Linked DNA regions of Arabidopsis thaliana. The protein of the gene in region 2 purifies or fractionates together with the protein of the main gene of each other region. This does not show direct contact. Each region holds a gene or a part of one and is shown on either strand. Other genes may lie near its edges.

Region 1 (3,755 bases), about 11 Mb from region 2:
GATCATGACAGCAAAACGGTATTCTTTCACCATCGACTTTATCTTGCTACTTTTCAATGATGAAATGAATCTTCTGACTGTTTAAAAAACTGTTCTTCACTGAAATTTGAGGTTACCTTTGTTAATAGGAGTGTGAAGAAATCAGAGGAAGACGTCCCTATTCCACCTCTTTTCGAAAGCGCTGCTCTCTGGGGTAAGCTTTACTTTTGATCTCTAACTATGTTCTACAGAATCATCGATGCTTTTCCCCTCTGATGTTCACTGAAAACGATAGTCTTGAACCGTCGATATTGTGTTGTCTACTCTTTTTCCGAGTTCTTGTGATCAGCCATCGGTTTCTTAACCGGGCTTAGTTTCTTAGAAAGGAAAGAACCTGAATTGCCAATGATACCAAGAATAGATTATGCTTACAATTCTATGTGAAGATATTAGCTACATTGTCCTGTTGTTAGCAATATTAGATCAATGGAGAGGGTAATTTAGTTGCTGAGCTCAGAGATAACCCTGAAGTTTACTCTGTGAATTGTTGATTACATATACATATATATTCACTCTCTTCTCTGTATTGCGCTGTTGTTCAGGTGTGTTCCTCGGCTTATCTTCCAATGCGCGTTACCAAATCATCAACGGCCTCGAACGCGTCGTGGAAGGTTCTACAGCGGCCAAACGTATCCCTGTGGTCGCTATGGCATTCACGGTGGGAGTCCGGTTTGCTAACAATGTGTATGGCGGTATGCAATTTGTAGATTGGGCTAAATTGTCCGGCGTTCAGTAATCAACCGGTTCGGTTTTGTTACAAACCGGATAGTAAACTAGCCTAGATGTCAATCCTCAGGAGTATGAGAGTATCTCTAATCTGATGGGGAAGTTTAGTTATCTGAGTTTCATTAGTGTGATTAGGTTATTTACCGAGAGCTACAGAAAGAGAATCTGGTTCATGATACGGACCGGATTCTTCTAACCGGAATACTACTCGATACAACATTTTCAATTTGGTTTTGGAAGTTGAGTTTCTCATGGTATCCTTGTCTCTCTTATTCATTTTTCTGAATCATATACTTGCAATAATGACTCAAACTTTTTATCAGCCGTTAGCCTCTGCGTTTTTATAAAGTTTATAACAATATGATCACAATGGCGAATTATGTCAACTAAACGTCATTTTTGACGTTTGCGTTGATTCATTCTTCTGTGTTTTTTTTTTCACTTTTCCCACCGTTAAAAGTGAGAAGGGGAAAAGGAGAATTGTTGGTAGGTGGAGATATTAAAAGTAATAAATAAAAATATTTAAAGCAACTATGAGTGAGTATATTACAAAAAAATCTTTCGATATTTATTTGCAAGGAAAATATTCTTAGGATACTTTGATGGTAAGGCATCATTCGATAGATGGAGGATCTTGCGAGTGACAGCTTAGTAACCACTGTCATCCAACTGCTGCATGATCCTCATCTTTTGTTCTCTTGTTTCTGTTTTGTGCCCCTTAATGATATTTTATTTATACTCCTTTACTTAATTTGAACAATTTATATTATATGCCCTATAGATTAATTAATGTGAATACCAAATGGTAATCAAAAGCTGACGACTGTTCAAAGGAACATTGTCCTCCCAAGGAAGGTGAATCATTTGATTAATCATCCCTACGTTGGGACCATAACTTGACCTGAATTTAAAATCCGGTTTTTTCATGGTCTCATGGTATGGTTATGTACTTATGTTATACTGAAATACCAATTGAATACATAACCGCGGTGAAAAACAGTTTAAGATTTTGAGACAGATTGTACAAACTTCGTTTTAATGGTGCAGTCTTTTGAGAAATGGCCAGCTTTCTTCATTTTTAATATATAAAATTAGTTTATTCCATGTTTATTTTTCGAATTACTCGTTTATTTTTTGTATTTCTCGAACTTGTAATCTTAAATTCGTCTGTTTAGCTCGTTTTAATTTTTGTTTTTTTTTGTAAACTCGTGAATTCTGTTTTTGGACGAGTCAATTTCGAATTTTCCAAATTCGCATGTGTTCAAAAATCAAAACAGACGAAACTGAATAACACAAAATTGAATAGTCAAAGTTGTAAATAATAAAAGTCGTCCCTCGTCTCTTCCCGCAGGCTTGTCTCTCTCTTCTCCAAAGATCACTCTCTCCTTTTTGAATTTCGTCCATTGGAGGTGTCATTTTCCGTTTCTAGATTAGGGTTTCGATCTCAGCTCTCGCGAATTGCTAATCCTTCAGCTGTGGTCTGCGCTTTCTGTCATAGTTAGATCCGGTTTCGCGAGTTCGGATCTGCGCCGTGTGAGGCGGTGGAGGACGGTGGATCTGAGGACTCTGTTCCACCATGACCGGAATGAGAGGTCTCTCCGTATTTATCAGCGACGTTCGTAATTGTCAGAACAAGGAAGCGGAGAGACTACGAGTTGATAAGGAGCTCGGAAACATTCGTACATGCTTCAAGAATGAGAAGGTTACTCTCAATTATCTCCATTTTTGTTTGCCTGTGTTTTATTCTCATTTTGAGTGGTAATTCAGTGACGGAGTAGTATCTGCCGAGGTTCTGTATTGATTAGATATATTGGAGATTTCTCCATGAAGCTACCTATTCCTCTGAGGTTGATTAGGGAGTTATATAAGAATGTAGTTGAAAGAAAGATGCAATCACTGGCCGAATATTTTATTAGGAAAGCCAGAGTTGCCGAGTGGATAGTTTTGGAAGCCTGTAGTTTCTTATTTTATCGGATTCAGGCTATAAATTTTTGATATAACACTAAGTGTGTACCTGGACAGGCAGTATTGTATAGCTAGCTCAGATCGGTAGAGATTAGCCATTATTCTACCCTTTGTAACATCACTAGTACTGCTTTCAACTTTGGAATGTCATTACTGCATTTAAAGTCCATAGATGGGAGAAGATCAATCAAGATATATAAGACACTAAATATATGATGATATTTAGGAACTAGAAGAAAAGAATGGCCTGGCAGTAAATTCGGTTATGTAGTGATGGTCTAAGGAAAGAAATACAGATCACGGAAAATTTTGAAAAGCTCATTACGAAATACATTAAGCTTTGTTGCTGTAAGAAGTTCTGGAGAGATAATCTGGTTCCATACTCTACGTAGTAGAGCTGTAGCCGGCCTGTAGTGGATCCATGTGTGGCCAGTTGGACCAACACCAAACTTATTTTAAAATGTTAGAAATAAATTAATCATGCACTCTTACTTTAACTTGTTTTATGTTTTCAGGTCTTAACACCATACAAAAAGAAGAAATATGTCTGGAAAATGCTTTATATACATATGCTAGGCTACGATGTGGATTTTGGCCATATGGAGGCAGTTTCTCTTATATCTGCGCCAAAGTATCCAGAAAAGCAGGTAAGCCAACGTTTTGTAACCAATGAAATATTGCTTTCTAAGGGTAGGAGAAGATAATAGGTGTGTGTGTGGTGGGGGTGGGGTATTTGTTTGATTCAAGTCTAGTGAGCAAGCTGAAACAAAAAAAAAAATCTCTGAAGATAATGGATGCTGGATTTAGATACTATTTCACAAGCTTGCAACTTATTCAGTTTGAATGGACCTGGTAAAGTACTGGAGGCATTTACTTAGACGCATAAGTTACTTAGTAACATCGTAGCAAATCTTAACCAGGAACCATGCATTGTATCCAAGGGTTTGTATTTGCAGTTTGTATTATTTTATGCTCACTACCAAATTTGCAGGTATTGAACTTTTCATCCATAATTTCAGGTTGGC
Region 2 (3,755 bases):
TTTGCAACAGTGGACATTCGAAAACTTACTTCATCAGTTCAAACTCTCCATCCGGTGGTACAAAACTAACAGTCTTCTCGGAGTTGAATCTGGTCAGGTTCACACACTGGTGAAATGTGACATCATCAAGCTCAATGGTTTTACCACTGCACAAAACGAGAGTCAGTTAGCACAAAGAAAAGTCAGTGGCTACTGATGTTCAATGTATTAACAACGTATACCTCTTAGCTGGGCGAGATTTCATTTCTGATTCCTTCTCAAGACCAATTTTATCATTCAACCCCAACTTCAAATCAGGCATTCCCGAAAGGAAACATTTCATTAAAACCTTCCCCGTCACATCACACCGAAGAACATTGCCTAACCGTTTCCATAAAATGCAAAACCAGTCATACACAGCAAATCAACAAGAAAGACAACTTCAAAAAACTTCATAAAAGGCAATTATTTACCTTTAGAGGACATCAGAAGGTTTACACTTTCCACAATATCCAGAAACACCTGCGTTTGAGAGAATGCAAAATATCATCACTACCGCACAACCTAGCCGATCTACATACACACAGAAAGAAACTCAACACTCACCTCATTCTTTTTGTAAGCAAGGCCCTCTCTTCTCCAACCAACAGCACCTGTAACTTGTAATGTTGCATTTGGAACAGGTTTGTCTTTTGGCTGTAATGAAAAGAAGCTTATGAATGCAAACATATCTAGTGAAGAAGCAACATAATCTCTATTTATTGCGGGAAATACTGCTTAACTTCGAAGAACCACACACCAACACAATTACAAAATCTGTTGTATACACAAACAAATAGATGCCTTTACCTTCGATGAAAATGGTGACCGTACACCTTCCTGAGTGATATAAAGTTTTAAAATTTCAGGTGAGAGATTTTGTGGATAGCCAAAGTCCATAATCTCTGCAATTCAATACAAAATATCATTCATTGGTGTTACCACAAAATAGAATAACATATAACGACTAATGCAACTTTACAAGTGATAAGAAAGTGATTTGATCATGACCCTATCAGGCTTACTTACCATCCAACAATTCATAAATCAGAACAAAGTTATTTCTAATAGCGTCTTCATCAAAAGCTCCACCAAAGTATGATTTGAACAAAGCTACAGCCTGAAAATGTGAATCAAAAGCAGTATGTGTATAGAATCAATCTGACTCTCTTGAAATTTGAACAAGAATCAAAACAATTGTGGAATATTAAAATGAAACACAAAAACAAGTTTACCTCAACAACAAATTTGAATCCACAAGCAACATTAGCATTGCTACTGACAACAATGACGATGTAGACATTGCTGATTCGCATATAAACAAAGGAGCAGCCACCAATCTGACGCACAGGACAATTCCCTAACTCTTTCGTCTGCATTATATGCGTACGAAATGCATCCACCATGTTTCCCCTAAGTATCAAAATCAAATCAAAATTTTAAAATCTCAAATCTCACAGCTAAAATCCTACAAAGTACGACTACTTAGAAGCGATAAGAACAAAACATGGAGCTGAAAATGAAGCCGAATTCAAAAAATTAAAGAGATCGACGGTGAAGAAAAGGAGAAGCTCTCTTACCCGACGTCATCTCGGTAGGTGCGATTTATGAGTACATCGCCACGGAGATTCAGAAAATAGATGGCGGAAGCAGCCACCGGCATCTTCGATCTGAGATTCGAAACGCAGATCGGATAATTAGACGATCTGGTTACAGGAGATTTGAGATTTGAGGTTCGACGAGATCTCGACGACGGAGCAAAGGAAGAAGACGACGACGAAGAAGTTGAACAACTGAAATGCGATATTTTTTTAATTTCTTTTTTATCAAAAAATAGAAACAAAATTGAATTCAGTCGTCATTTTGGAATGGGCCGGTCTTATTCGATTCTGGGCCTGTGCGTCTCAATTATGGGCCTGTAGTACATTATATCCTTCATCATTTTTAATTGTTGTTTACATATGAAGAATGGTTAGGTAACAAACAATGTATAGAAGTTCTTAATTTTCAATTATTAACACTAGGTGATCACCTGCGCTACGCCGCGGTATTTTCGGATTTTTTTCGTATTGTTTAATTTAAATATAATTTTTATTTATCTAATTATTCACTTATACAATAAACAATTCCTTTTAATTTTAAAAATATTTTTTCTAACAACATTCTCAACAATGCATCATACACATAATTCATAAATAACGTTTGTATTAAACCAACTTAAGAGAGGGTAGTTTTGGATTCTAGAAACCTAAGAATTTGATGATGGAGCTCCTTACGTATTCTTCAACCTCAATGATTTATTGTATAAATATAAATTTAAGAGAATATAATATCAATTTAAGAAAATAACTTACTCAAATCATTAAATAATCCACGACTATTATATACTCATACTTTGAGTTTGGATTACAAAAAAAAATCTTCGAGTATGAGAAAACTATTAAATGGTTTTATTGAAAAATCATGTAATATTAAAATAAATTTAGTAATACTATAATTAAATATGTAAAATTAAATAATAAATATATCATTAACTTATAAATTAGAAGTTGAAGAGCTTACATTAATTACTTAATAGACACATGGCAAATGCTAAAATGATGATGTGTCAATCATTTGGAGAGAGTTAGCCAACTTTCATATATATGATTAACACGAAACTTTTCGAATTTTTTTTGTTCAATTCTCTCTGATGTCAGTGATGTGTAAAAGTAAAACTGTAAATGATCGCAATTTTTTTTTTTGTTCACTCACGAGAGAAAAAAAAAATGTGGAATATTTATTTAGTATATTAATAGAAACCGCGCCGTTAATGATAAAAAGAAGATCTTGCTCGATCCGTCTTTGATCCAAAAAAAAATTCATCTTTCTATAATTTGTTGCAGTGCATAAGAAGATTAACACAGTGTTCACGAGAGAGAGAGATTAAAGACAGAGATTTCTGGGTTTTAACAGTAGGAAATGAATATTGTTGGATTAAGAAGCGATCGGAGAAAGTAGCAAAAATCGGGAGAGGAAAGGGATATTCGAAAACCCTAATTTTGGAAGATCATTCATTTGAGAGAAAAGCTGTTAAATTTGAGGGCTTTAGATCGAATTTGATATCTGGGGTTAATGGGTTTTTTGAAGAAGTTAACGGGTATACTTGGTTTTGGTCATAACGATGGTGGTGGTGGTCATGGAGCTGTGAGAGATGAAGATGGTGATGGTGGAGATAACAACACTGGAACTGTTTCTGGTGATGGAGATAAACGTCGGGAAGAGAATCAGACGAGATTTCGTGAAACTGGACCAAGGAAAGGTTTTGGTGTACCGGTTCAAGTTGCTGTTGAACGGTCGAATCCTGGTCCTATTCTTCAGCCTTGTGCTGCTTTAGACGGTGGTGTTCAGGTCAGTTTTCCTTTTTGACTGATGATATTGGTTAGTGAAACTCTAGGGATTGATCAAATTCATGAGAATATGTGAATTACTTGTTGCTAGCTAGATAAAGAGTTATGGTTAAGTCTTACGAAGATCTGTAATGTGGTATCACATAGTGCAGTTTCATGCTAGTTCTGTAGCTGGATTGTGTATTCATACCTTTGGTTTGGATCACACTAAGTTGGATAATAAATTGGTTTGTGAGTTTGCGAAGATTCAGTCGTCTCTGTGGCCTACATTCATTTCATGTTCTGTGCGGGTGCCTTGCTTTTTTTTCACTTTAATATGGCCTCAAGATTGGCTTCGATATGCTTGTG

What was found. The genes of interacting proteins can lie anywhere in the genome.
Region 1: the proteins of AT5G46630 (region 2) and AT5G22780 purify together in Arabidopsis thaliana (affinity purification with a luminescence readout; 2 studies listed by BioGRID, with this or other methods). This does not show direct contact.

The regions. Positions count from the first base shown.
Region 1 is NC_003076.8:7,596,415-7,600,169, reverse strand, and holds the start of AT5G22780 (Adaptor protein complex AP-2, alpha subunit), read left to right. Parts: upstream 1-2,056; 5' UTR 2,057-2,341; coding exon 2,342-2,467; intron 2,468-3,245; coding exon 3,246-3,377; intron 3,378-3,749; coding exon 3,750-3,755. Other genes in the region: RER1 (reticulata-related 1), read left to right, coding at 1-18, 129-193, 582-775. UniProt on the Arabidopsis thaliana protein: Subunit of the adaptor protein complex 2 (AP-2). Adaptor protein complexes function in protein transport via transport vesicles in different membrane traffic pathways.
Region 2 is NC_003076.8:18,918,506-18,922,260, reverse strand, and holds the start of AT5G46630 (Clathrin adaptor complexes medium subunit family protein), read right to left. Parts: upstream 1,824-3,755; 5' UTR 1,682-1,823; coding exon 1,599-1,681; intron 1,432-1,598; coding exon 1,254-1,431; intron 1,139-1,253; coding exon 1,048-1,138; intron 924-1,047; coding exon 829-923; intron 676-828; coding exon 586-675; intron 502-585; coding exon 453-501; intron 361-452; coding exon 222-360; intron 147-221; coding exon 30-146; intron 1-29. Other genes in the region: AT5G46620 (uncharacterized protein), read left to right, coding at 3,133-3,408. UniProt on the Arabidopsis thaliana protein: Subunit of the adaptor protein complex 2 (AP-2). Adaptor protein complexes function in protein transport via transport vesicles in different membrane traffic pathways.